Anolis sagrei: one gene and its partners. The main gene of each other region encodes a partner of the protein of the gene in region 2 in a complex. Links are inferred from orthologs where the notes say so. Each region holds a gene or a part of one and is shown on either strand. Other genes may lie near its edges. The genes, in order: UPF3B, EIF4A3, ALYREF and CASC3.

Evidence for each region.
Region 1: EIF4A3 (region 2) and UPF3B share a complex: the UniProt entries of both Homo sapiens proteins name them as parts of the mRNA splicing-dependent exon junction complex. The link is inferred for Anolis sagrei from reciprocal best matches to the Homo sapiens genes EIF4A3 and UPF3B.
Region 3: EIF4A3 (region 2) and ALYREF share a complex: the UniProt entries of both Homo sapiens proteins name them as parts of the ALYREF/THOC4-EJC-RNA complex. The link is inferred for Anolis sagrei from reciprocal best matches to the Homo sapiens genes EIF4A3 and ALYREF.
Region 4: the proteins of EIF4A3 (region 2) and CASC3 are in contact, whole or in part, in a crystal structure (PDB 2J0U), measured with the Homo sapiens proteins. The link is inferred for Anolis sagrei from reciprocal best matches to the Homo sapiens genes EIF4A3 and CASC3. Residues at the interface, in NP_055555.1 of Homo sapiens: Thr178, Arg179, Lys198, Ile201, Tyr202, Tyr205, Arg206, Tyr207, Leu208, Pro209, Pro210, Thr212, Lys231, Phe232; in NP_031385.2 of Homo sapiens: Arg217, Trp218, Glu219, His220, Asp221, Lys222, Phe223, Glu225.

The regions. Positions count from the first base shown.
Region 1 is NC_090030.1:3,214,476-3,221,912, forward strand, and holds the start of UPF3B (regulator of nonsense transcripts 3B), read right to left. Parts: upstream 3,014-7,437; 5' UTR 2,999-3,013; coding exon 2,723-2,998; intron 745-2,722; coding exon 638-744; intron 485-637; coding exon 378-484; intron 1-377. Other genes in the region: NDUFA1 (NADH dehydrogenase [ubiquinone] 1 alpha subcomplex subunit 1), read left to right, coding at 3,922-4,023, 6,242-6,331. UniProt on the Homo sapiens protein: Involved in nonsense-mediated decay (NMD) of mRNAs containing premature stop codons by associating with the nuclear exon junction complex (EJC) and serving as link between the EJC core and NMD machinery.
Region 2 is NC_090021.1:21,907,397-21,915,007, forward strand, and holds the start of EIF4A3 (eukaryotic initiation factor 4A-III), read left to right. Parts: upstream 1-4,607; 5' UTR 4,608-4,803; coding exon 4,804-4,969; intron 4,970-5,213; coding exon 5,214-5,286; intron 5,287-7,611. UniProt on the Homo sapiens protein: ATP-dependent RNA helicase. Involved in pre-mRNA splicing as component of the spliceosome. Core component of the splicing-dependent multiprotein exon junction complex (EJC) deposited at splice junctions on mRNAs.
Region 3 is NC_090022.1:113,659,381-113,667,140, reverse strand, and holds the start of ALYREF (THO complex subunit 4), read left to right. Parts: upstream 1-4,749; 5' UTR 4,750-4,759; coding exon 4,760-5,005; intron 5,006-5,499; coding exon 5,500-5,631; intron 5,632-7,160; coding exon 7,161-7,308; intron 7,309-7,632; coding exon 7,633-7,696; intron 7,697-7,760. Other genes in the region: ANAPC11 (anaphase-promoting complex subunit 11), read right to left, coding at 442-587, 682-790. UniProt on the Homo sapiens protein: Functions as an mRNA export adapter; component of the transcription/export (TREX) complex which is thought to couple mRNA transcription, processing and nuclear export, and specifically associates with spliced mRNA and not with unspliced pre-mRNA.
Region 4 is NC_090026.1:40,429,093-40,436,201, forward strand, and holds the start of CASC3 (protein CASC3), read right to left. Parts: upstream 3,014-7,109; 5' UTR 2,902-3,013; coding exon 2,635-2,901; intron 1-2,634. UniProt on the Homo sapiens protein: Required for pre-mRNA splicing as component of the spliceosome. Core component of the splicing-dependent multiprotein exon junction complex (EJC) deposited at splice junctions on mRNAs.

The DNA of each region.
Region 1 (7,437 bases), on a different chromosome or scaffold from region 2:
AAGCAGCCATATCAAGCAAGTCTTGGTGTCCATTGTATGGGGCAGAAGTCATCCCCACTCTTCCTTATTTATTACATTTCCTAAAATCAGATGTTGCTACACCACACAATGGACCACACATTAATATGGATCCTTTGCTGTGAAGCTGGCTACATTTCCTCCCCACCCAAAGCCCTTTGCATGCGATCTCAGATGAGCAATGATCGGATTTTTCAAATTAAATTCTGGATGACACTGGCTCGGCACAGACCATGCAGGCAATTCTACCCCGTTTCTGGGCCTCTGGATTGACTGAATTATTTTCACCAATTTATGCCAATATATATTTGGACAAAACAGAGATATGATATACATAGCCAAGTTTCAGGCATACTTGCCTTTGTGATCAACAAAAACATAACCATCAAAGCGATCCCTGAACAGAACTATGTCTTCTTGGTTTTTAAAGTTGATGTATGCTCTGGAAAACATGTGAGGGTACAAACTGCAGAAGGACAGAAAATGGCAATGTATAAGGAAACGTCGCTGAGTGATGACTGTAAATATACCAAAACACAAGACGGGTGTAAAACTGAAAGACATAAATGACATGCCACCGTTACATGCAACACGGGCAGAGTTTGAAAGGCCCTCTCACCTGGTGTCATTAGCAAAGAACTCAAAGTAGTCGTGTTCCGGCAAAGGCTGGAGATGTTCTTCAAGCTGCTCCTTGGTTAGGCTGGGAGGGAGGCGGCGAATCACCACCTGCAAGAGGAAGTGTCGGTTTTTACAAACACCTTAATTTGTCAAATAAATTGTTCCAAACAACACTATGTAACACAATTGTCGTTCCTGGGTTGGGGCATTTCCTAACTGGTTCTCCCATAAAAACTGTTGGAATGTAAGCCCGAATTGAAAATCCATCTCTTCCGGTAGAAGGCCGACCCAGCCAACTTTCTATCATGAGGTTTGACTGACATTCCCTTGCTGCTTTATGTTGATTTTGAACCCTGTGTGCGGTGTACATTTTCATAATTATGTCTTTTTTCTCTTTATATTTTATTATATAAAAGTTATGTTCATAGGTTATTGACTTTGCTATACTCTGGGTAACAAAATATGTATTCTTATATTTATATTTTTATTATCATATTCTTAATATTATATTTCTAGTCTTATTATATTTTTGATTATAATGTTCTTACTATATTTTTATTCTTATTTTTTACTATATATCTATGGTTATTATATATTGACTGTATTCTTATATTTCTCTTATTACAGTATACATAAAACAAATTTATTATATTGAGTATGTTGAGTATGTTCTTATTCAATTTCTATTATTATTATAGTTTATTATTTATTAATTTACAACATTTATGTCACTCTTCTCACCTGAAGGGGACTCATTATAGATAAATCACATTTATTATAGGTTGATTATGATATATTCTTATATTTCTTTTCTTATTATAGTCTATATAAAACACATTATTATAGAATATTCTTATTCTATTTTACTCCTTACCATTCTTACTATAATTTTATTCTTATTATATTCTATATAAAACACATTTGTTATAGGTTAACTATATTCTTATTCTATTTCTCTTATGTTCTTATTCTATTATTACATATCTATTCTTACTATATTTCTGTTTTTATTGTATTCTGTATAAAACACAGTTATTATAGATTACCTACATTCCCATTCTATTTCTCTTCTTATCATTCTTATTCTATTATTATATTTCTGTTCTTATTATATTCTATATAAAATACATTTATTACAGATGAACTATATTCTTATTCTATTTCTCCTCTTTTCATTCTTATTCCATTACTACATATCTAGTCTTATCATATTTCTTTTCTTATTATATTCTATATAAAACACATTTGTTATAGGTTGACAATATTCTTATTTTATTTCTCTTCTTATTCTTATTCTATTTTTACATATCTATTATTATATTTCTATTCTTCTCATATTCTATATAAAACACATTCATGATAGCTTGAACATATTCTTATTCTATTTATCTTATCATTCTTATTCTATTACTACTTATCTGTTCTTATTATATTTCTGTTCCTATTACATTCTATATATACACATTTATTATAGCTTGAATATATTCTTATTCTATTTATCTTCTTATCATTCCTATTCTATTATTACATATCTATTCTTATTATAATATATATAAAACACATTTATTATAGCTTGAGCATATTCTTATTCTCTTATCATTCTTATTCTACTACTACTTATCTATTCTTATTATATTTCTATTCCTATTGTATTCTATATAAACACATTTATTATAGCTTGAGTATATTCTTATTCTATATCTCTTCTTATTCTATTATTATATTTCCATTCCTATTATATTCTACATAAATACATTTATAATAGCTTGAGTATATTCTTATTCTACATCTCTTCTTATCATTCTTATTCTATTATTATATTTCTATTCCTATTATATTCTACATAAATACATTTATTATAGGTTGAGGCAATTCTTAGTCTATTTCTTGTATCATTCCTATTCTGTTATTACATATCTATTCTTCTTATAATCTATAGAAAACACATTTGTTATAGGTTAATTCTATTTCTCTTCTTATCATTCTCATTCTATTACTGCATATCTATTCTTATTATATTTATATTCCTCTTACATCCTATATAAGACACATTTGTTATAGAATGACTATATTCTCCTCCCTTCACCTTGCTGAGGAGCTCCTTCTTGTCCCGGGGCCTGCTGTCGGGCTCCCCTCCGGCCTTGGCGTCCGCGCCCCCGCCCACCGCCAGGGCTCCCGCTCCGGAGGAGGAGGCGGCGCCGCCCCGCTTCTCTTTGGGCCTGGCGTTCTCCTTGCCTTCCTTCATCCTCAACGCCGCGCCAGCCAGAGCCAACAACAAGGCCCCGCTCGCCCGTCTTCCGCTCCGTCCCGCTCGCCCATTGGCCGCCGCTCCTCTCGCGAGAGCCTCTTCCCTCATCCCCATGGCAACAGAGCTGAGGAAGTGACGTCGCCGCGGAAGGCCGCAACGGTTTTTCCATCTCCATAGCAACAGCAGCGGCGGGGGAGGGGGAAGGGAGGGAGGAAAGCCTGCGCCTGCGCAGTTCCGCCCTGCCTTTTGGTAAGTCACAAAACCCTCCTCCCTCCGTCACAAGGAGGTGGAGAGAAAGTGGCGCCTGCGCAGTGCCGCACTCCCTCAGCCCCGCCTCCCTCTCACTCCCATTGGCCGCGAGAAATGTCTCTCTCCTCTATCCCCAGAGTGACAGCAGAGGAGGGAGGAAAGTTTGCGCTTGCGCAGTGCAGCCCTACCTCAGCTCCGCCTCCCGGTCACTCCCATTGGCCGCGAGAGATGTCTCTCTCTTCTATCCCCATACCGACAGTAGCAGAGCGAGGAAAGTTTGCGCCTGCGCAGTGCCGCTCTCCCTCAGCCCCGCCTCCCGCTCACTCCCATTGGCCGCGAAGGATGTCTATCTCCTCTATCCCCATAGCGACAGCAGAGGAGGGAGGAAAGTTTGCGCCTGCGTAGTGCCGCCCTCCCTCAGCTCCGCCTCCCGCTCACTCTCATTGGCCGCGAGAGATGTCTCTCTCTTCTATCCCCATACCCTCAGTAGCAGAGGGAGGAAAGTTTGCGCCTGCGCAATGCCACCCTCTCTCAGTCCCGCCTCCCGCTCCCTCCCATTGGCCGCGAGAGATGTCTCTCTCCTGTATCCCCATACCCACAGTAGCGGAGGGAGGAAAGTTTGCGCCTGAGCAGTGCCGCTCTCCCTCGGCCCCGCCTCCCGCTCACTCCCATTGGCCGCGAGAGACGTTTCTCTCCTGTATCCCCATAGCGACACCAGCGGAAGTGACGCCAGGACGGAAGAGAGGGAGAGAAGCTTTTTCTGCCCTTGCATTCCTGAGGAGAAGACGATGTGGTACGAGATCCTTCCCAGCCTGACGGTGATGTACGTCTGCCTGACCATCCCGGGCTTCTCCACCACCTTCATCCACAAGTACACCAACGGGGGCAAGGTCAGCCACACCGCCACGCTATCGCGCGTCTGTCCCGCTTGGGCCGCCCTGGAAACCTCCCGGGGAATTCTGGGACAGAATGGAGGGGAGGGAGGCAGGCAGGGAGGAGTCAGAGTAATAGAGAAATACATAATAATGAGGGATGTGAGTAAATACAGGATGGAGAATAGATATATGGAATAGGCATAAATACAAAATAATAATCATAATGCAGGATATGCATAAATACATCATAATGTAATTGTGGGGTATAAAGAAATACATAATAATAATATACATGCAATGTATTAGTACATAATATTATAATAATAATATATTAATATGTGATATTATATTAATATATAATAATATATTATAATAATAATATATTAGTACATAATGATTTAACGGTCATTTAAAAGTCCCTTGGCCACTGTACACGTACAGCTGTACCAGTTTCCTTTGCACTGAATGTTTGTTATAGTCATAAGTTTCAGGGACTCTGCAGATAGGTGGCTTCTTTTGGCTGCAATCATAGGGCAAGCCACCTGTCAATTATAGTTCGGTTCCCTGGTCGCGCCCCTTTTTGAGTTTTGGAGGGAATAGGAGCCTTTTTGGGTCAGTCCACACAGAGAAGCTTCCATGCAGGACATAATATCAAGAGCTCCTGTAGAAAGCTTCGTCTTCTACAGCTTGGCCGGGGAGATATACAGCCTACAGCTTGGCCGGGGAGAAAAGGCCCACAGCTTGGCTGAGGATTTTGCAAAGTTACAGCTCCTTTGCGGAGGGATTTCAGCCAGCCAACACAGCAACCTGAACTCCTTCTTTTCCCCTGGAAGTCTACAAAGCTCTGCTTGGTAAGGGTCGCTCGTGGAAGCCAGACGCAGTTGGTACCGGGTGCAGGGGCTCCACGCCAACAGAGGCAAAGACAGACTGCCCAGATTAGAAGTTAAGGATTTCCCCATTAGTTAGTATACAGTTATGAAGATAGTGCCTGTTCCCTATGGACAAGATTGAAAGAGCCTATAGACCGTTAAAAAAAGCTTTAAAGTACCTGTTTGTTTTAATCAATAAAGAACTTTGTTGGACTTACTTTAAGTCTCTACAGAACTTTGTTTTAAGGAAATCCAAGGGCCTTTAATCTGAGGCAGCCCCGGCATCCCGTTGGGCACTCAGAATTTATGTCCTGTCTACAGCCTTATGCACAGGCCCAGCGTGCGACAGCACAACCACATCATGAGAAGAAAGGAAAGCTTAGAGAAGATAATGATGCTGGGGGAAATGGAAGAAAAAAGGAAGAGGGGCCAACCAAGGGCAAGGCGGGTGGATGGTATCCTTGAATTCACGGGCTTAACTTTGAAGGAGCTGGGGGTGGTGACGGCCGACAGGGTGCTCTGGCATGGGATGGTCCATGAGGTCACAAAGAGTCTGAAGCAACTGAACAAATGAACAACAACAAAATTGTTGTGGGATATACATAAATACATCATAATTATAATGTAAATGTTAGATATAAATAAATACACAATATTCAGCCTTCAACCATAAATCTGTATAAATAAATATGTAATGTTCATTTGTGGGATTAATATATTTCAAGAACCACAGAAGGAATTGAGACCAAATTTGGACGCAAAACACCTATCAGGCCAACGTGACCATCACTCATAAAAACACTGGAAAACACAGCGGAAGGGACATAAAAGGCTCAAAAACAAAAAATACATTACAAGGCATGTGCAAAACCACATATATATAGGCAAGCACACATATACACAAATATATACACAGATATATACACACACAAAACACAGACTGAGCCACAGCAATGCATGGCTGGGGACAGCTAGTGCATAATAATGATAAATACGGGATATAAATAAATATAAATAAATACATAATAATTATCCTAATGTAAATGTTGGATATAAATAAATACACAATATTCAGGCTTCAACCATAAATACACAATAATTATAATATGGTGGATCTAAACTGTAGAATGAATACAAGTTTGATACCCTGTCTTGATATGATTCGAATTGTGGGGGTTGTCATTTTGCAAGGTCTTTAGCCTTCTCTCGTGCTTCTAACCCAAAGAAAAGGGCTGCATCTACCATCCTCTATTCCAGTTGTCTGGGGTTTTTTCCCCTTTTTATGTTGGATTATACGCTTATACATTTTATCCCTTTTCTCCTTGATTTTGACTTGTTTTTCCCAACCCTTTTGTGTGTCCCAGGAGAAGCGCATTGCCCGGAACACCTACCAATGGCACTTGATGGAAAGAGACAGGAGGGTTTCTGGAACCGACCGTTACTTCGAGTCCAAGGTAGATAATGAAAAGAAACATTAAAACGCCACATGTTTGCCTTGGTTGCAGAGAGGAGTTCTGTCTAAACTTCATAGTCTTCGTATTTAGTGACAGAGGGTTTTTAGCCTCTGTTTTTGAAAAAGAATGAATGCAATAAACAATACCTAGAGGAGCATTGAATAGTACAAAACAATCTAAAAACCTCTCTCTTCTAGCCAGTTTTAAGCATGAATTTGAAACTCTTGTCTCTGTTTTGTGTATTTTATAGAAATATATATTTATATATTTTATATAACTTGATTTTAATATGTGCGTTTAAAGAATGTTCGCAATGTTTGTGTGTTTTGACTGTGCTGTGACCCGCCTTGAGCCACTAGCCACAATAACAGTAATTATGATTATGAAATGTTATCAGATAAAATTCTCAGAACCTGATATTATTTCTAAGATAAAATTGTTGTTGTTGTTACTATTTATTTATTGTTTTAGAAATGAGCTGAGGGTACTCAACTCGTATTTAAAAACACAAAGTTTGCAACACTTGGCATTATGCTAAATGTCCTTTGACCAGTAGCTGACCACTTGGAATGCCTCTGGTGTTGCTATAAGAAGGTCCTCCATTGTGTATGTGGCAGGGCTCAAGCTGGATTGTAATAGGTGGTCAGTGGTTTGCTCTCCTCCACACTCGCATGTCGTGGACTTTGTGGCCCCATTTCTGAAGACTGGCTTTGTACCTCATTACTATTATATGTCATCAGATAATATTCTCAAATCCTGAGATTATTACTAAGATAAAATGATGGTGATGATTAAATGTTATTAGATAAAATTCTCATAGTCTGAGATTATTATTAAAATATTATTATTATTATTAAATGTCATCAGATGAAATTATCAGAGCCTGAGATTATTATTAAGATTATTGTTGTTGCTATTATGAAATGTTATCAGATAAAATTCTCAGAACCCTTTTTTTGTAAAACATTATTCTTAAGAGATTACCATTTTTACACTTTTCCATTTTGCTTTCCGTTCCGTTTCAATGATGGTTTTCCTCTTTTCGGAGCAGTCTGTCTGAAGGAGTAGCCTGATCAGATGAATGGGAAGCAGATAAAATCCTCTTA
Region 2 (7,611 bases):
GTCTGTCCTATAGGGCCCCTGGATAGGAGCAACTCTGGATCCCTAAAACAAGCACTGTATTCTTGTAAAGATGGGATATTCTATAAAATATCCTATAGGTGGCCTGTCCTATAAGGTCTCTGCAGTGGGGCAACCCTGAACCCCCAAAGCAAACACAGTATTCTTGTAATGGTGGGATATTCTATAAAATAGCCTATGTAATGGTGGGATATTCTATAAAATAGCCTATATGTGGGCCGTTCTATAGGGTCCCTGCATAGGAGCAACCCTGGACCCCTAAAGTAAGCACAGTATTATTGTAAAGGTGGGATATTCTATACTATAGGTGGTCTGTCCTATAGGGTCCCCTACATAGGAGCAACCCTGAACCCCTAAAGCAAGCACAATGTTCTTGTAAAGGTGGGATATTCTATACTATAGGTGGTCTGCCCTATAGAGTCCCTGCATAGGAGCAACCCTGAACCCCTAAAGTAAGTACAATACTCAATGTGGAAGTGAGACATCTTAAAAATATCCTGCATAGGAGCAACCTGAACTCCTAAAGCAAGTACAGTACTCTTGTAAAGGTGGGATATTTTATACTATATCCTATAGGTGGTTTGTCCTATAGGACCCTGCATAGATGCAAGCCTGAACCCCTAAAGCAAGCACAGTATTCTTGTAAAAGTAGGATATTCTATATTATATCATATAGGTGGGCTGTCCTTTAGGGCACCTGCATAGGAGTAACCCTGGACCCCTAAAACAAGAACAGTATTCCTTTAAAGGTGGATATTATATACTAAATCCTATAGGTAGGTGTCCTATAGGGCCCCTGAATAGGAGCAACCCTGAACCCCTAAAGCAATACAATACTCAACATAAAAGTGAGATATCTTCAAGATATCCTGCATAGGAGTAACCTTGAACCCCTAAAGCAAGCACAATATTCTTGTAAAAATGGGACATTCTATATTATATCCTATAGGTGGGCTGTCCTATAGGGTACCTGGATGGGAGCAACCCTGAACCCCCAAAGCAAGTACAATACTCAAGGTGGAAGTGAGATACCTTCAAGATATTCTGCATAGGAGTAACCCTGAACCCCTAAAGCAAGCACAATATTCTTGTAAAAATGGGACATTCTATATTATATCCTATAGGTGGGCTGTCCTATAGGTTACCTGAATAGGAGCAACCCTGAACCCCTAAAGCAAGCGCAATACTCAAGGTGGAAGTGAGATATCTTCAAGATATCCTGCATAGGAGCAACCCTGAACCCCAAAAGCCAGCACAGCACTCACCTCTGCCCTCCTCCCACTTGTTGCTTTGACTCTCAGAGCAGAAACTGCAGCAGCAGGAGCAGCATCTCCAGGGAAAGGGAAGCCAAGCCTTGCTCCAGAGGCTCTCCTCCGCCTCCTTTGTGTCCCTCCGAAGCCCAAAGCGGCGTGCTTTGCCGGGGCTTCTCCCTCCAGGGGTGGAGGCCCCTCCCCGGGGCTGGACCGGGCTAAGCAGGCCGCCCCCCGTCCTCAGACCACCCTCCTCCTCCTGCCTGCCTCCCTTCCTCCTCCTCCTCCTGGCATTGGCTGCTGTTGCTTCTTCCTCTTGAGTCCCTGGCTGCAGCTGCACTGTGGGATTAATGCATGCAGCTTGGCACCTCTTGACCTGCATTGGCTCAAGGCTATGGGATCATGGGAGCTGTAGTTTGGCAAGGCACCAGCACTCTTGGCCAGAGGAGGCTGGAGACCTTGTGAAACTACAATTCCCACAATCCCATAGCATTGAGCCAGGGCAGTTGAAATGGTATCAAACTGTATTCTTTCTATAGTGTAAATATACCCACCATCAGGTGCTTTGCATCTTACTTCAAGGCTGGGAAAATAGGGGGAAAGCAACAACCACAACAACAACAACAACAACAAAGGCTCAGAAATAGAATCATAGAATCCTAGAGTTGGAAGAGACCTCATGGGCCATCCAGTCCAACCCCCTGCCAAGAAGCAGGAATACTGCATTCAAAGCACCCCTGACAGATGGCCATCCAGCCTCTGTTTAAAAGCTTCCAAAGGAGGAGCCTCCACCACACTCTGGGGCAGAGAGTTCCACTGCTGAACGGCTCTCACAGTCAGGAAGTTCTTCCTCATGTTCAGATGGAATCTCCTTTCTTGTAGTTTGAAGCCATTGTTCTGCGTCCTAGTCTCCAAGGAAGCAGAAAACAAGCTTGCTCCCTCCTCCCTGACTGCACTGACCATGTCATGTAAGATAACCAATTGCAGAGAAGGGAACCAATAGAATGAGCAGGAACTAGGCAGTGCTTCTTGTAGGTCAGAGAATGGTCCAGAGTGACTCCCAGGTATTATTTATTTATTTATTTACAGCTTTTATATTCCGCCCTTCTCACCCCGCAGGGGACTCAGGGCGAATTACAGTGTACACATACATGGCAAACATTCATTGCCAATTTTTGACATACAAACATATACAGACATACACAGAGGCTATTTAACTTTTTCTGGCCACCAGGGGAGCTGTCGCTTTCATTGTCCATCTGCGACACTGATGAAGTACTTCCGCATTCCTCGCATGCTTCCCCGCTGGAATGCTTTGCTGGAGTCTTCTTTATGGCCTCATAAATTAGTTAATTTAGCCTCCCCACACTTTAATGTGGTACCTAATTTTCCCACTTGACAGATACAACTGTCTTTCGGGTTGCAAAGGTCGACAACAGGCTACACACAATTGGTTGGAAAACCCACTCCAACCTGGGCTAGCTTCGAACTCATGACCTTTTGGTCAGAGTGATCTTTAATGCAGCTGACACTCAGCCAGCTGCGCCACAATCCCGGTATTTGGGTGTGCTGCAGTGCTCCAGTGGGATTCCTTCCCTGGTAATCCTCAGAGCTCGAAATGCTTGTCTGTTCTTAAGGTGAAAAGCACATGTCTGCATTTTAGATGGATTAGGAATCAGCTGGTTTTCCCTGTAATAGGTAGTAAGGCCACCTAAAGCTTTGGAGAGCTTCTGTTCAACGATTTCACAGCTCCCTGCTTGGGTGGTGATGGCATGATCGTCAGCATAGATGAAACTCTCTGTCCCTTCTAAACAGTATAATTTCTCCAGTGGTGTAGGGCGTAGACATCCTGTGATAATGCGGCATGTGTCCTTAAGAGCCACATCCACTGTTTTAACGTGATGGGATGTGTTCCACACTGGGCATAAGGAAAGGAAAGGGCCTGAGGTTGTTAGGAACTGTGGGAGTTGAAGTTCAAAACAACTCCCATGCCTGTTGTAGATGGACAGCACTGATCATGCTCTCATAATCTGAGGATTCGACCCTAGAATCATAGAATCAAGAGTTGGAAGAGACCTCATGGGCCATCCAGTCCAACCCCCTGCCAAGAAGCAGGAATGTTGCATTCAAATCACCCCTGACAGATGGCCATCCATCCTCTGTTTAAAAGCTTCCAAAGAAGGAGCCTCCACCACACTCTGGGGCAGAGAGTTCCACTGCTGAACGGCTCTCACAGTCAGGAAATTCTTCCTCGTGTTCAGATGGAATCTCCTCTCTTGTAGTTTGAAGCCATTGTTCCGCGTCCTATTCTCCAAGGAAGCAGAAAACAAGCTTGTTCCCTCCTCCCTGTGGCTTCCTCTCACATATTTATACATGGCTATCATATCTCCTCTCAGCCTTCTCTTCTTCAGGCTAAACATGCCCAGCTCCTTAAGCCGCTCCTCATAGGGCTTGTTCTCACCCTGACTCTGGAGATGTGAGTTCGAATCCTAGCTTAGCCACAGAAATCCAAGTCACACTCTCTCAGCCCCAGAGATAGGCAAAGGCAAACTTCGGACTTCAACTCCCAGAAGGCTCTCACATCGTGGCCAACACCCAGGAATTCTGGGAGATGAAGTCTCAGACAAAAGAATCCCTGCTTGTTGTGACTCTTATCAAAAACATATCTCTATGGGCAGAAGCGAACGTCGGTAAGCGTATGTTTAGGGCGAGAGTCACTGAGAAAGCTTTACTGCGCACGCGCAACTGTCTCCTGTATCTATAACCTTTACAAAGCGCGAACGTTGCAAAATCAGAGATGGAAGCATTAACGCGCATGCGTGAAGTCTAGTCCCGTTACTGACTCTATTGGGAGGAGTGAACGTTTGCTGACGTCATGGAGACAGGGTGAGGAAGGGCAAACTTCGGACTTCAACTCCCAGAAGTCTCCCACATCGTGGCCAACACTCAGGAATTCTGGGAGATGAAGTCCCAGACAAAAGAATCCCTCCTTGTTGTGACTCTATAAGTTATATCTCTATGGGCGGAAGCGAACGTCGCTAAGCGTCTTTTAGGGCGAGCGTCACTGAGAAAGCGTTAATGCGCATGCGCAAGTGTCTCTTTTATTTTTTACAAAGCGCGAGCGTTGCTAAATCAGATAGAAGCATTAACGCGCATGCGTGAAGCCTAGTCCCGTTACTGACTCTATTGGGAGGAGTGAACGTTTGCTGACGTCATTGAGACAGGGTGAGGAAGGGTTAGAGCGCATGCGTAAGTGATTGTTTGAGGCTGAGCGTTGGAGCGCATGCGTAAACTTCTCGTCTCTTTAGCGTCTGTTGGGACTCTCTGGAAAGGAGCGAACATTGGGTGGACGTATGTTTTACGTCGTGCGTCACCATCTACGTCATGGAGTAGAGCTGAGGGCGCATGCGCGGTTCAGTTGCGGCCTAGCCGGCGGTGTTGCGGATCTCCTCACGTTCTCACGCGCGGCCTTCGGAGCCTCTGAGGGAGAAACGCGTGCAGGGAAGCGGCGGGAGGCACGACTCGGCCGGGAAGGATGTCGGGGACGACGGGAGGTACGGCGGGCTCTGCTCGGAAGCGGCTGCTGAAGGAGGAAGACATGACGAAGGTGGAGTTCGAGACCAGCGAAGAGGTGGACGTCACCCCCACCTTCGACACCATGGGCCTGCGCGAGGACCTCCTCCGAGGCATCTACGCCTACGGTGAGCCGGGAGGGACAAGATTCTCATTCTGTCTCGCATTATAACCATCTATACAAACATAACAACAATAACACAGTCTACCGTTATATATTATTATATATTATCAGTAGTAACTATTATATTTAATATATTAGTATTGCTATATTACAGTAGGGCGGCATATAAATGTCATAAATGTTCATGTTTTGGGGTTTGATCTGTAAGTGGAAAGGGATGCTAAATGAATTTTAAATGGCTTTTCTAGGCTTTGAGAAACCTTCAGCTATCCAGCAGAGAGCAATCAAACAGATCATTAAAGGAAGAGACGTAATTGCACAGTAAGTACAGATTATTTAATTATTTAAACATTTATATTCCGCCCTTCTCACGTCGCAGGGGACTCAGAGCAGAGCACAACATATATACGGCAAATATTCAATGCTGGGATATAAAACCATAAATATATACAAACATTAAAGTCACTTATATTCAGATTAAAAGTTGCTTAAAAACCATCTCAGGACACCATTTTGCCTCATTTCACTGCCCCAAAGGCTTGGTCCCACAGCCAAGTCTTCACAATCCTTCTAAAGGACAGGAGGGAGGGGGCTGATCTAATATTGCCAGGAAGGGAGTTCCATAACTGGGGGGCAATCACTGAGAAGGCCCTGACTCTTGTCCCTACCAAACATGCCTTTGGTGGTGGCGGGACCAAGAGCAGGGCCTCCCCAGAAGATCTTAGTTTCTGCAGTGGTTCATAAAGGGAGATCTGTTCAGACAGGTAAACTGGGCCAGGGCCATTTAGGGCTTTATAGGCTAAAGCCAGCACTTTGAATTGTCCCAGTAGCAAACGGGCAGCCAGTGGAGCTGATGTAACATGGGAGTTGTGTGCTCCCTGTATGCCACCCCAGTTATTAACCTGGCTGCCTCTCATTGGACTGTTTGAAGCTTCCGAATCGCGTTCAAAGGCAACCCCATGTAGAGCGCGTTGCAGTAGTCTATCTTGGATGTAATGAGAATGTGAACCACCATGGACAAGTAATGTATATGGAAGTAAAATGAGGTCACTTTGGAATATTGCCATATTGACTATAAGAAAGTAAACGATTCTTGATGTTGTGTTTTACACCTTTGATGCCAATGACTACAGCAAATTTGTCAGATTAAATCCACCTCAGTTCAGTGGTCCTTGTTTAGTGTAAAATGTGACAGTGAATGTATCTTCTTGTCAACCATTGTATCTGTTTATGTTGAATCTTTTATTATATGACATGAAATCACAGTCACATTTAGCCACAGATCTAAATTAACTTGCAATATTCCTTTTATTCTATGACACCATTGAGTCTAAGATGCACACTAATTTCAGTACCACCATTTTCACCCAACTATATATATATATATATATATATATATATATAATATATAATCCCAACCATTGTAAGAAACACCACAGTTTTAGAGATGTTTATACAAGAGGAGAAGCAGGTCTTAGAAATGAAGAAATATAGTTCTATTTCCAGCTACAGTATCCCCATTAAAGCCATGGGTAATCAAGTAAGTCAGCACTTTGTATAGACTGATAATCCTTGATGAGAATGCATATTCTTTCCACAGCAGGAATGCCCTTGCTTTTCACACAAGAACCGAAAACTTAAGCCTTTTCTCCTCACCTGCAGGACAAGATTTTTTTTCTTGTGATTTTTGAATTTCTAGTTGATTTTTTTGTAATTGGCATAATTAGTTCAAATAACAAAGCTAAATGTAAATATTTAAATCAATATCAACAAAGCTGCCTTTTTCGTGAACTAAAAATCAGAGGGATCAAATCAAATATCAGCTTTGAACTATGAGGGTTAAAGTGGTATCAAACTGCATTCATTCCACAGTGTAGATCCATTCCACTCTAAAACCTTATCTGCCTTTTTGCTATTTAGATTTTAAATAACCACCTTGACCTACCTGGGTTGCTGTTTATTTTTTGTATTATTACAATTGTATTATTTCTGTGCAGTCAGTTGACCACATTTGCTGGGATTTAGAGGTACAGGGTCTCTTTTTGGATTTACTTCAACTCCCGCAATTCCTAACAGCCAGTTGTTAGGATGTGTCTTAATTTATACCTGTACTGTCTCTTTTTAGAAAGTATTTGAAGGCTAGACATCAGTATCTTAGTTTGCGAAGAGTTCAGAGGAAAATCATAGACCTTTTAATTCTACATTGTACAACTGCAGATGCTTGAGACACAGCGGATGATACCACGTGTTTGTATATTATTAACTTGTACAGTTTTATTATACTCTCCAAAGTAGACCATAACTTAAATTTGATTGTTAAACATAGGTTTTATTTGTAGAAGTTTCAGTTTCGAGAACTATTTCAATGTCATGATTGTGGAAGTAATCCTATATATATGAGTTGCCTGAGGGCTGAGAAGGGTGGTATACAAATACAGTAAATAAATAAATATAATGACAAAGGAATATATCTCATTGAGCTCAGTGGGAGCTGCTTCTGAAAAGACGTATAAATACTGTACTATAAAAGCCTAAATTAACCCCCCAAGTTCACTGTTAAAATGTTATTTTTAGCCATGAATTAATTAGAACGAAAATACTCTTAGTCCCCCATCTTTAATGCAGAATAATGAGCTACCAATATAC
Region 3 (7,760 bases), on a different chromosome or scaffold from region 2:
ACTAGCGTTTCAGACAATCCACCAAGACACAAGCTTACAAAAGGGGCCCAGGTAATATCTAGCATACATGAAAATAACATCATGATATGTTCTTGTTCAATATGCTGACCTTCTCACAAATATATATTTCCTACACGATATAGACACAGTTCATGACCATTTAAAACCACAATCCTGGACAGAATAAAGACAGAAAAACCTGAATGGTAGACAGGATAATAATGTTAAGAAAATGTAACTAGAAAGAGAGCATCCAGTTCCTGCACTTCTTTTGATTCAGTCTGTGGGAAGGCTTAGGATATACAATACAATACAATACAATACAATACAATACGAGCAAGTAAAGTCTCCAGGCTTGAGGAAGAGCTAGGAAGGATGAATCTCCATGAAGCTATAAGAAGAGGATGTGAAATCCGTAAGGAGGGAGAAATCTTGACCTGGTTATTCTTTGAACTTCCACTCCTGTCGGCACATTGGACAGTGCTGCTGGACTTGCTGGGAGTTAAGCCACTTGAGAATGCAGTGCATGTGGAAGCAGTGGGAACACTGACCCCACACCAGCGGGCAGTCATCTCCAGGCACCTTACCTGCAAAACACAAGAGTTACTAGGGCAAAGCTGGGAAAAGACAGTGTATATCGATCAAGAAAAATGTCAGTGGGCAGATAGTCCCAATACTCACAATCTGGGCAGCAGCCATTGAAGGCCATCCGGCAAATGCCACAATTCTCATCATTGGCAACCCAGAGCCAAGAGGCAACTCCATGCCAGCTCTTGATTTTCACTTTCATTGTGTTCAACTAAATACCACACTTAGATCAACCTAGTTTAGCACCTGAAGGGAGGAGAGAAAAAACCAATGGAAATCACTGTTTCTAAAATGGGAATCAGAGTTTCTAGAAATCAAAGTCTCTGTTTCCTAGCAAGATTGGAGCTGGAATGCAATTTAAAAACTATTTAACCTATTTAACCTTTCCACCAGGGTAGCAATAGATGGCATTATAAATTATATTAATATTCGTCTTACAATGTATATGCAGTCCAGGAGGTATGTTAAGCTTGTGCCTTCTTTAGGGATGATGCAGGACAGACTACAACCAAATTCCAGATTAGGACAGGATGGAAGCAGAGATTTTTGAGACATTAAAGCAAAGTAATATATATTAATTCTTACCTATGATTACATTGTTTTTATAGTATAACCATTACAGCAGATGAATACCAAGGTCCTAATGCCCAGCATAACTATACAAAAGCATTGCAGAAGAACAGCAGCATTAAGACATTGCAAAGCTGGGTACATTATTAATATTGAACTCAACAAAATTTGAAGTAGTTGGGTAGGAATCATATCCCATGTGGGTAGAATTCAAAGGCATGACTGCATTAGTCTAGAATACCAGTATGCAAAGGGATCTTGCAGTACCTTAGAGGCAAAATGAGACAACAAAACTGATAACATAACCTTTCCAAGATCAAGTCTATTTTGTCAGTAGCTCGCCACAGAGTTTGTGGGCATGGTGCTAAAATGACCAGTTCAGTGTTAATGATGTCACTGAGGAACAAAGGGAGTCGAGAAGATGTTGCCTAAAGGCAAGATAAGTAGATAAGCATATGAATGGTGGAGGGAGTTCTTGGACTGTCCTGTACCTGTTTTGCATTTCTATGGCTATTCACACATTCTGTGTATAAAGATCTCTTTACCCTAGGGATAAATAGGAATGTCTGGTGCTAACCCACCTGATAAACATGTATGTACTGAAACACAATCATTTTTTTTATACTATAATTAACTATTTGATATTGCTGTTTACAATATAAATAAACTGACACAGAACTTCTAGGACCATAAACTTTTATCACATAGATTTTATGAATTTTTCCCAAGCACTTCAGTCCATGCATCTGAGAAATCGGACGAATTATGAAAGTTTAAGCTACTAGCGTCATTCTTTCAGTCTCTAAGTGCCACAAGACCCCTTTGCATACTGTTAAGACTGCAATAGTTCCTATCGCAGCCCTTGAAAGGAAGAAAAGCAAAAGATATCCATATTTTGCAGGATATTCTCAACTGAGTCTTATTTAATTTATATGTTGCCTTTCTTATAAATAAATAAATAAATAAACCAATAATAAAACATTAAAACAATTTAAACTATCATGTTAAAGCAGTACATAATTATTGAAAGCACATATCAAAAATAAAGCATTCTTCCCCGTGGGCAATTACATATTATCAGATTAATATTTTAAACACTGTATTTTCAGTTACCAGCTCCCCGTATCTTGCCATCTTCTTTTAAACAGCTTGTAAGAAGTAAACCCTAGGTAGCTGAAGAACTAGGGACTTCAGCACACTAGAGCATCTATCAACCTTAAATCCAGTTTCTGCCTCCTGCAGAATTCTGGGTTTGTAGTTTAGAGAGTGGCCTTTAAAAAGCTCATCCAGAGAGGTCTTGGAACTCACTAAACTACAAACCCCAGAATTTTGCAGGAGGGAACAACTGGATTTAAAGTGGATAGATGCTCTAGTGTACGCTTGGGCAAACTTCAGCCCTCCAGGTGTTCTGGACTCCAACTCCCACAATTCCTAACAGCTTACTAGCTGTTCGGACTTGTGGGAGTTAGAGTCCAAAACACCTGGAGCACCCAAGTTTGCCCATGTTTGCTCTATTGTGATGAAGTAGCTGCTTTTGTAACAGTGACCTAAAATTAATGGTTGGCTCAAACTATAGCAGGCTCTTTGCACTATCTGTGTGTCTGTATACACACAACACTTCAAGCTGATCATTGACTGATTGCGTTATTGTAGGTTTTTTGGGCTATATGGCCATGTTCTAGAGGCATTCTCTCCTGACATTTCGCCTGCATCTATGGCAAGCATCCTTGTGAGGTCCTCACAACCTCTGAGGATGCTTGCCATAGGCGAAACATCAGGAAAGATGCCTCTAGAACAGGGATCCTCAAACTTTTTAAACAGAGGGCCAGGTCACAGTCCCTAAAACTGTTGGAGGGCTGGATTATAATTTGAAAATAACATGAATTCCTATGCATGCTGCACATATCTTATTTGTAGTGCAAAAAACACTTTAAAGCAATACAATATTTAAAATGAAGAACAATTTTAACAAATGTAAACTTATTAGTATTTCAATGGGAAGTGTGGGCCTGCTTTTGGCTGAGATAGGATTGCTGTTGTTATAGCCTAAAGCAAGGGTCCTCAAACTAAGGCCCGAGGGCCGGATGCGGCCCTCCAAGGTCATTTACCCGGCCCTCGCTCAGGGTCAACCTAAGTCTGAAATGACTTGAAAGCACACAACAACAATCCTATGTCATCACCCAAAAGGAGGCCCACACTTCCCATTGGAATACTATTAAGTTTATATTTGTTAAAATTGGTTTTTGTTTTAATTATTGTATTGTTTTAAAGTGGTTTTTGCACTACAAATAAGATATGTGCAGTGTGCATAGGAATTCATTCATATATTTTTTTCAAATTATAATCGGGCCCTCCAACAGTTTGACGGACTGTGACCTGGCCCTCTTTTTAAAAAGTTTGAGGACCCCTAGCCTAAAGCATCTGATATTTGGTGGCTGTCTCCCATCTAGGAGCTATGCAGTTTTCAAGATCAGGCAGACCTTGGCACCTTTACAACTGTTAGGCGCACACTGACTGCTGCGTAGTCAATTGGCATGAATCTATAAAAGTAAAGGTTTCCCTTGACATTAAGCCTAGTTGTGTCCGACTCTGGGGGTTGGTGCTCATCTCCATTTCTAAGTTGAAGAGCCAGTGTTGTCCATAGATACCTCCAAGGTCATGTGGCCAGCATGACTCCATGGAGTGCTGTTACCTTCCTGCCGGAGCTGTACCTATTGATCTACCCACATTTGCATGTTTTCAAACTGCTAGGTTGGCAGGAGCTGGACTTACAGCGGGAGCTCACCCTGCTCCCCAGATTCGAACAGCCAATATTTAGGTTAGCAAGTTCAGCAGCTCAGCGGTTTAACCGGCTGCACCACCAGGGGCCCTGGCACCAATGTAATGGCTCTGCTCTCGTTGGAACTAGCAGCTTGGCCTGGGCAATGCTTCAGCGTTGGGCTATTATTACGTGCGGATCTCTTTACCAAAGAGCAGCCGCCAAACAACAGCAGCAGCCACAAGACTGTAGTCTGAGGTCTCCGTCTACACTGGCCATTTATTGCAGTTCCAAAGCGATTTTGCTGTGCAGTCAGATGGCTACATGAGAAATCCTGGAGCCAGTTTGAGGCCCAGAAAGTGCTGAAAGCCCTGAGGCACATTAAGGGCTTTGCATTCAAGGGAGTTTGTCGCCTGGTTGCCGAACTGTATGAAATGTTTAGTGCAGACGGGGCTTTGGGGGGAACAGCCCCCTCCCCTGCCCCGAGGCAGCATCCTCCTCCTCCTCCAACCTTCCCGCCTCCCTTCCCCTTACCGGAAGTCCCGCCCCCAAGGGCTCTCCCATAGTTCCTCGCGCACCCAAGCCCTTAAAACCGAGCGCGAGAGGCCCCTTGGCGCACTTCTTTCAGCGGAGGAGCCCGGCACGAGCGCAAGCGCGCCCACCCACCGCGCTCTTCCCTTCCTTTCTTTCCCGCCTCCTTCTCCTTCTTCTTCCTCCTCAGCCAGGCTCCTTCTTTTTCTCCTTCGCCGCCCTTCCCTCTGTATCCCCGCCTCATCCGTTTCCGGTCCCCTCGCGCAGCGCGGCCGGAAGCGTAGGCCCCAGGAGCCGGAGGGAGCCGCCATCATGGGCGACAAAATGGACATGTCTCTGGACGATATTATCAAGCTCAACCGGAGCCAGCGAGGCGGAGGCGGGCGCGCCGGGCGAGGCCGGGGGCGAGGGGCCGCGGGGCGAGGCGGCGGAGGAGGCGGCGGCGGCGCGGGGCGAGGAGGCGGAGGCGCGGGGCGGGCAGGAGGCGGAGGCCCCATCCGGAACAGAGCCGCCTTGTCCCGGGGAGGCGGCAGGAACAGGCCGGCGCCCTACAGCCGGGTACGTTTCCGCCAGGCGTCTCCTGGGGGTCTGCCTTCGGGCTCATCTGGACTCTCACTGCATTCGCAACTCGTGATAGCACTTGGGCCTGCACCTGGGGGAGAAAACGCAGGGAAGCCTAGGCTTATACTATACGGCAGTGGTTCTCAACCTGTGGGTCCCCAGATGTTTTGGCCTTCAATTCCCAGAAATCCTAACAGCTGGTAAACTGGCTTGGATTTCTGGGAGTTGTAGGCCAAAACACCCGGGGACCCACAGGTTGAGAACCACTGCTCTAGGGGCTGTAGTCTGAAAATAAGGGGACATGAGACCTTAAGACAAGTGGTTTGCCACTTGTCGGTCCCCAGTATTTTGGCCTACAAGTCCCAGAAAGTTTACCAGCTGTTAGGATTTCTGGGAGTTGAAGGCCAAAACATCTGGGAAGCCACAGGTTGAGAACCAATGCCTTAAGATATGCTGATCAGTTACTGACTTGGGGTGCCCTTTCTTTCCAGCCCAAACAACTTCCAGAAAAGTGGCAACATGATCTCTTCGAAAGTGGCTTTGGTCCTGGCGCTGGTGTGGAGACAGGTGGAAAACTTCTGGTCTCTAATCTAGATTTTGGCGTGTCAGATGCGGACATACAGGTAGGTTTTCCCTTCATCTCTAATAATAGGTGGCCCAGTGTTGGAATTTGTTCTAACTCAGGCATGAGCAAACTTCATCCCTCCAGGTGTTTTGGACTCCAATTCCTAACAGCTGGTAGGCTGTTAGGAATTGTGGGAGTTGGAGTCCAAAACACCCGGAGGGCCGAAGTTTGCTCATGCCTGAGCTAGCTGATAAGGTTGTGTAATGGAGACCGCCTTTATTTTGGGCATCTTATTGCAAATTTCATCTGTGTGGACATGGGTGTTTTTTTATGATTGTGACAAATGTCTTAATGTTTGGAGAGAAGCAGAAATGTCTCTCTGTGAAATTATCAGCATTAATATTTATTTCCTTTGATAGTTTGGGATTGTTAGCAAACACATTGATATTCATAGGCTGTCTTGTTTTGTGTAGAGTACATATATGAACATTTTCTAAACAATTTCATAAGCTTAGTACTATAGTAGATATATCTGTTCTACACACTTCTTTTTGTAATCCTTGGGATATGTGGATCTCTATTGGATTATTTTTTTCTGTGCAGGGAAGTCTGAACCTAAGGCTAACCTATACAAAGACAGAAAATTATTAATTAAAAAATCATTAAAATTTTATTTCTAGTCTGTCCTATCTCCCTGAAAGGACTCAGGGCGATTTCTAATACAAAAGCAAATATTCAATGCCATATGCAACCATAAAAACACAGCACCATAAAATAACAATGAAACATGGCTAAAATGCATGCATAAAATAAACTCTATGAGGAGGGTAAACAATCAGGCTTTTTTGCAGGGAGAAAATTTTATCCTGTTGAACCACATTTCCCAGTACTGTTTATCCTTTGAAATAAAGCCAATGTTGTATCAGACAATAGGCAAACAAGAATATATTGTGGTTTGGTTGTAGGGTACAATGGCTTTTATGACTTCAGATGAACATATGCTCACACACTGGATTCATGAAGGCCAGACTTTTTGCCAATCTGCTCTTAAAACAGCATAAGGCAAAAGACACTTGCATGATTTGAGATTCAAACATGGCAATGGTTTATATAGTGTTATGCAAGATCACTTAACTTGTTTAGGAGTATGTAGCTTAAGCAGGGTAAGCCGCTTCAAATGCCCAAGAAGCAGTTCTCCACCACAGTGGGCTCCACTACAGAAAGTACAGCAGGGAACTTGTTTTCCATAATTATTCTTCTGATTTTATTTGTAGTGGGGCTATGAGGAATGCAACCACTCCACTTTATTTTGTGGCTGAGGCACCTTGGTGGAGGTCTCATCAACATTGCCTCCTCAGGAGATCTTCTGCCCTACATTTCTTGCATTTTTCCTTGAGTTCTGGGGTTAATTTAAGTAGAAAATGAGGCAAAGTTAATGCAAGATCTGATTTGTAGTTGTAGTAAAATGGCAAATGTGAGAGTGAAAGAGTTTACTGCTTTAATGGGTAATCTTTTTAGAAAGACCTGAATACTTTGCCAAATCCTCCTGGTTGAGATAACTTCCTACTTTTACCATATCATTTTCAGGAACTTTTTGCAGAATTTGGTACATTGAAGAAGGCAGCAGTACACTATGACCGATCTGGGCGTAGTCTAGGTACTGCAGATGTTCATTTTGAGAGGAAGGCAGATGCTCTGAAGGCTATGAAACAGTACAATGGAGTTCCCCTGGATGGTACGTGCTTAACTGTCTATCTTGATATTTACACAGTGGAATAAGAGATAAGCTAGCCTTGAATTTAAGTATTTCTCTGGTAGCTACAAATAACAAGGAAATGTGTTTGGAGTGTGTATGTATTATTCTATGTAAGAGGGTGGCAAAGGAAGAATGGAGAATCTGTTTTTTTTGGCATAGAAACCAAGAAGACAGTTTAAAATGGTATGGTCCTGAGAAGCTTCCAACCCTTGGTTCTTGAAAGAAGTATTTTAGCATTATTTTACAGACTAGTAAGGTTTTTGGACTAATAACCCTTGTGATGCATATCCTTTTTATTTTTAGGACGTCCCATGAATATCCAACTGGTTACATCACAAATAGATACACAGAGGAGACCAATACAGAGGTAGGAGATTTAATCTTTATTGATGATGATGATAATAATAATAAGTTTGTTCTTTTATACCGCC
Region 4 (7,109 bases), on a different chromosome or scaffold from region 2:
CCACTCCCATGCTACAGCAGCTCCACTGGCTGCAGGTCTGATTCCTGGCGAAATATAAAGGGCTGGTTATCACCTATAAAGCCCTAAATGGTTCGGGCCCAGATGATTTGAAAAACTGCATCTCCATATACAAACCACCACAAGCATTGCGGTCCATGGAGGAGGCCTGCTCTTGGTCCTACCCCCGTCTCAAGTATGGTTGGTCAGGTCAAGAAACAAGGCCTTCTCCTTGATCGCCCCCCACCACTGGAAATCCCTCCCCAAAGAAGTAGAAATTCTCTCTTTTACAAAGCTTCTTCTTTTCTTTTTATGTCAGGAGCAACTTGAGAAAGTGCAAGTCACTTCTGGTGTGAGAGAATTGGCCGCCTGCAAGGACGTTGCCCAGGGGACGCCAGGATGTTTTACCATACTGTGGGAGGCTTCTCTCATGTCCCCATCTGAGAAGCTGTAGCTGATGGAAGCTCACTCAGCTCCCCGGATTCGAACCGCTGACCTTTTGGTCAGCAGTCCTACTGATACACGGGTTTAACCCACTGCGCCACTGGGGGCTCCTTAAAAACCTATTTATGCACTTTAGCGTATGGAAAGGATCAGTAATACATTTTAGTTATGTACTCTCGTTTAGCTACTGGAAAGCTACCTCAGCCCTGTTGGTTGCAGTAAACCACCCAATATTTTAATGCCTTTTAGCTGCTGGTAAATGTGTGAAATGTGATGTATTACATTTATTTAAGTTCTTACTTTTTGGTTATTATTGGTTAGCCATAAGTTTTATTTATTATGTTGATTGATTTGTTGTTTTGTTTTATTATGGCACTGAATGTTTGCCACTTTTGATGGAAACTAACCTGAGGCCCCTCGAGGGGCTGGGGCAGGTTATAAATAAAACTTTATTATTATTATTATTATTATTATTATTATTATTACTATTATTACTACTACTAACTAGTCTTTAAACATAAACCTGAATTTTAATGCATGCCCTTTAATTTGTTGTCTGTTTTCATATATATTTCATTTGTTGTTTGTTTTATTGTGGCATTGAATATTTGCCACTTTTGATGGAAACCTCCCTGAGTCCCCTCAGGGAGCCAGGGCAGGTGACCGCATTTCTGTGTATAAACCCACACGATCTCTTCGTTCATCTGGGGAGACCCTGCTCTCGCTCCCAACTCCCTCGCAGGCGCGATTGTTGGGGATGAGGGATAGGGTCTTCTCCATGGTTTCCCCCCCCCCCCCACTCTAGAACTCACTCCCCAAGAATATCAGACAAGCCCTCACATTGGCAGTCTTTAGGAGGAGCCTGAAAACGTGGCTGTTCCAGTGTGCCTTCTCTGAATAAAGGAAACAATCCCCTGCAAAGTACCCTGAGAAGCACTTTAATTACCCATTGGGTTGTTCTCTACTTTTCGTTTAAAACTCCCCTACTAGTTACATCCTCTGTTCATGTCCAGCATTTATTTTTAAAGTTTTAACTATTACATCTGGCCCTGCCATAGATTTTTAAATTCTTATGTGTTATTGTCTACCTGTGAGTTATATTAACTGTATTGTTTTTTTGTTTATTGCTTGTTGTTTTTATTATTGCTTGTTGTTTTTGATGTGTTGTTAGGCTTCGCCTCATGTAAGCTGCTCCGAGTCCCTTGGGGAGATGGTGACGGGGTATAAAGTTTTATTATTACTACTATTATAAATAAAACCTTATTATTATTATTACCTAGTCTTTAAACATAAACCTGAATTTTAATGCATGCCATTTGTTTAATTTGCTTTGTCTGTTTTCATATATATTTCATTTGTTGTTTGTTTTATTATGGCATCAAATGTTTGCCACTTTTGATGAACACTGCCCTGAGTCCCTTCGGACAGCTAGGGTGGGTATAAATAAAACCTTATTACTATTACCTAGTCTTTAAACATAAACCTGAATTTTAAAGCATGCTCTTTGTTTAATTTGTTCTGTCTGTTTTCATATATATTTCATTTATTGTTTGTTTTATTATGGCATCAAATGTTTGCCACTTTTGATGGGAGTCCTCTCGGGGAGCTAGAGCAGATTATTACATTATTATTACTAAAACATTATTATTACCTAGTCTTTAAACCTAAACCTGAATTTTAATGCATGACCTTTGTTTAATTTCCTTTGTCTGTTTTCATATATATTTCATTTGTTTGTTTTATTATGGCATCAAATGTTTGCCACTTTTGATGAAAACTGCCCTGAATCCCTTCGGACAGTTAGGGTGGGTATAAATAAAAACCTTATTATTATTATCTAGTCTTTAAACATAAACCTGAATTTTAATGCATGCCCTTTGTTTAATTTGTTTTGTCTGTTTCCATATATATTTCACAGCGATATGTTTTGGTATGTAACTTTTATGGTGGTATGTGTATTTGTAGTGTTTTGCTGTGCTTATATGTTTTAATTGTTTTGCAACCCGCCTTGAGCCATGAGGAGAGTGGGTAAGAAGCAAAATTATTATGATTATAATTATTCTGGGTTATCTGGCTGTGTGGAAGAGCCCCAAGGCCTGAGGAGGCTTGAAACCTCAGAGCGCTTCAAACTGCGGCCTAGTGCAAGGCCCAGTCCCTCACGGAGCCTTCCCTCTCCTCCGCCCAGGTACTCACACACTCCGAGTCGGCCGGGCTTCCTCCCGCCGTCAGAGCCGCCTCCACGTTTTCAGGACCGGCGGAGGTAGGAACAGCAGTGGCGGCGACGGCAGTAACAACAACCGCGGTGCCTCCACCGCCTGCATTGCTAGCGTTGGCCGCGGAGCCGGCGAGTCCGAGGCGGAGGGCGCCCCTCGGCGAAGGGGCCGCGCTCCCAGGCGGCGAGTCCGACTCGTCCTCCTCACTGCTGTCCTGGGAAGCGCGCTGCCTCCTCCGGTCCGCCATCTTGACGAGAAGAAACAAGAAGCGAAACGGTTAGGGAAGAGGAAGAGGAGGGGGCGGAGCCCAAAGGGATGACGGGTAACGAGCAAGGCGCGCGCCCACCAGCTCCCAACTTCCGACACGCAGCGCGCGCGCGCGAGACACGTTTCGATGCCTCCCCTTCCCCCCAGAATTCTTTGCGAAGAACAAAAAATAGGATTAAAGACAAAAGGGGAGGAAAGGAAGACAGCGGCCAATGGAGGCGCTGTGGAGCAATGACGTCACGGCAAACTGCTCTTCAGTGGGCGGGCCGAAGGACGCCTCGGCAACAGGGTCACGTGCTTCTCGAAGATTGACACCTCCCCCTCTTCCCCCCCCTACTGCCTCGACGCTTTCCCACTGCGACGGTGATGTCATTGTTGTTTATCCTGCAGGACTGAAAGCGTAGAGGCAGGGCGTTGCACAGGCTTCGGAGGGAATGAAAAGGGTAAACCGGCCGCATGGAGAAAAACAGGTTGGACACAGCCCTTAGCCAGAATTCCGAAAGCCAAAATAATTCAAGCAAGGCTGCATGGACACTGTAGAATCAATGCAGACCCATACCGCTTTAATTCCCAGGGCTCAGTGCTGTGGAATTGTGGGATTTGTAGTTTGATGAGGTTGGCAGAGCTCTTTGACACTGAGCCATAGTCATTAATGGGTGTCAAACTGCATTGATCTCACAGTGTAGATCAGGCTTGGGCAAACTTCGGCCCTCCAAGTGTTTTGGACTTCAGCTCCCACAGTTCCTAACAGCTGGCCAAAGTTTGCCCATGCCTGGTGTAGATGCACTCACTGACACCTTTGCTTTCTGGTGGCAAAATGTACACAAACTTTGTTTCATGCACAATTGAATACATTAACCTTCAAGCTATGCATGTAAGGCAGGCATAGGCTAACTTCGGCCCTCCATGTGTTTTGGACTTCAACTCCCACAATTCCTAACAGCCGGCCAAAGTTTGCCCATGCCTGGTGTAGATGCACCCACTGACACCTTTGCTTTCTGGTGGCAAAATGTACCCACACTTTGTTTCATGCACAATTGAATACATTAACCTTCAAGCTATGCATTTAAGGCAGGCATGGGCCAACTTCGGCCCTCTAGGTGCTTTGGACTTCAACTCCCACAATTCCTAACAGCCGGCCAAAATTTGCCCATGCCTGGTGTAGATGCACCCACGGACACCTTTGCTTTCTGGTGGCAAAATGTACCCAAACTTTGTTTCATGCACAATTGAATACATTAATCTTCAAGATATGCATTTAAGGCAGGCATGGGCCAACCTCGGCCCTCCAGGTGTTTTGGACTTCAACTCCCACAATTCCTAACATCCAAAGTTTGCCCATGCCTGGGGTAGATGCACCCACTGACACCTTTGCTTTCTGGTGGCAAAAGGTACCCAAGCTTTGTTTCATGCACAATATTATTAAAAATATTGGATAAATGTACCTTCAAGCTATGCATATTAAGGCAGGCTATGGGGCAACTTCGGCCCTCTGGGTGTTTTGGACTTCAACTCCCACAATTCCTGTGGGAGTTGAAGTCCAAAACACCCGGAGGGCCGAAGTTGCCCCATGGCCTGCCATAGCACACATAAATTTTGCGGCCCATCTCCAAGATATCTCATTATGCAAGTAATGGTGTTCCAAAACCCAAAACACTTTTCCCAAGAATTTCAGATAAGGGATGGCCAACCTGTAATGCAAAAGCGGGTGAGCCTGCAGTGGCATGCTAGGTCCAGGAAGCTGGTGGAAAATACAAACCCAGTTATACTGCATGCTGGAACAATATTTTTGTTTATTTAAAGTGACTTAGGTTATAAGGCTCAACTAACATTAACCATAACAACCATTCGCCTTCCTATTATCTACCCAATCTCATTACCTAGGAAAAACCGGTTGCCACTTGTAGAAAAGAAAAAAAATGAAGAGAAACCTGGCACTGAAAATGATATGCAAAAACAGTATAATTTTGAAATAGTCTATCAACTGGGTTAACATGAACCAAGTCTAATCATAAAAGTTAGAACATAAAAAGGAGCTTGGCTGGATCACATCAAAGACTAGCCCAGTCCAGTATCATGTTTACCCACTATCTAAACAGATGCTAATAAAAAGTCCAGAGTCAGGACACAAGGACAGTGTTTCTTTTCCCAGCAAATGCATGCTACCAAAGGACATGGGAGGCCCATCAACAGGTGCATCTACACTGCAGAATTAATATAGTTTGCTACAGAATCCTGGGAGCTGTAGATTGGAAAATCAGCAGCACTATTGGGCAGAGAAGGCTTAAGTCCTTGCATAGTTACATCTCCAATGATTCCATAGCATTGAGCATGGCAGTCAAAGTGGTGTCAAACTGCAATAATACTAGAGTGCAGATCAGGGGTCCTCACACTTTTTAAACAGGGCCAGGTCACAGTCTCTCAAACTGCTTGAGGGCCAGATTATAATTTGAAAAAAACATGAATGAATTCCTATGCACACTGCACATATCTTATTTGTAGTGCAAAAAACACTTAAAAACAATACAATAATTAAAATTAAGAACAATTTTAACAAATATAAACTTATTAGTATTTCAATGGGAAGTATGGGCCTGCTTTTGGTTGATGGGATGGGATGGGATTGTAGTTGTTGTTGTTGTGTGCTTTCAAGTCGTTCCAGACTTAGGTTGACCCTGAGCGAGGGCTGGGTAAATGACCTTGGAGGGCCGTATCCGCCCCCCCCCCCCCCCCGGGGCCTTAGTTTGAGGACCCCTGGTGTAGATACACCCAACATCTTTAGGTACTATTCATAAACCCCTGTAGAATAAGGGCAGTGCTTTTAACGCCATAGTTGTAGGAATCGGGTACCTTTGTCTGTTTTGAATCAATACAGCTTCACTTTTTTTTTTTTTTGGTCGTGTCAGGAGCGACCACTCCTGTAGTGAGAGAACTGGCCGTCTGCAAGGACGTTACCCAGGTGACGCCCAGATGATTTGATGTTTTATCATCCTTGTGGAAGGCTTCTCTCATGTCCCTGCATGAGGAGCTGGAGCTGATAGAGGGAGCTCATCCGCCTCTCCCCGGATTCGAACCTGCGACCTGTTGGTCTTCAGTCCTGTTGGCACAGGGCTTTAACCCACTGCGCCACCGGGCAGCTTCACTGAAGAGCTGCATATCTAACATCGTTATTCCTGTCCACTTTTTTCACAACATGCATCATTTTATGGTGTCTGTCATGCCCCTTTCTTTTCTATGCTGAAAACCCCCATAGACTTTCTCTAAGATCAACACATTCAGCTACCACATTTTGCCTTTTACTGCTCTAGATGTGTTGTGGGTTTAAGATGAAACAAGCAGAATTTATTCTATATTCTATATGATGTTACACTATAGATGTTTATGACAAGGTTCAGCACTATTTTTTTCTAAACATCTGCAACATGGAATTTGTCCTTGCCACATGCAGTCTCGCAATTTTAGAATACTCTTTAAAAAGTATGCCTAAAACCAATTCATGCACTTTCGCTTTTTTGTTTTTCCAGTCTTGTAATTTTCCTTTTATTGTTTTGCTTTTGATAATATCAGTATGTATGCTTTGTTAAACCAACTTAGCTATAATAATGTTGAAAGGGAGGACAGATACTGCTTCCTGCCCCCCCCCCCAAAAAAAACCCCACAAATTTAAATGGTCCTGGCTGCCTTTTCTAGACTCAAAAACCACCATGTCTCAAAGACACAGGGCCCTTGTGCAAAACCGCAATGATGGCATTCTCATTTGCAAGTTCAACCTGTTCCATTTAAATGTTCCTATGATTGGCTGTATCGTTTCTACTGCAGAAAGTAAATTTTCCTTTTTTAGGCAAAGCATGACATACAATACTATTTCCAGAGCTGCTGCTGGGAATGAGTCACTCTATTGTATATATTTTGATACTACATTTAAAAAAATACAGGTCTACTGTTACTTTCTACCTTTCAAGGACTTCTGATCCAACTATTCAGACTCCTCTTGATTTATACATTTAACTAAGTTTAAAGCCACTACAGTAACCTTTTCTGTCCAATAGCAGAAGTAGATTCTGCTGGTCAAAATTGTACCATCTGTCAAACGAGGCACAACACATAAGAAAAACATTAATATTCTTTTTTATTGTAAAAAAAATTGATTTGTTTCAATTTTGTTTAAACATACAAGCAGAACATCTG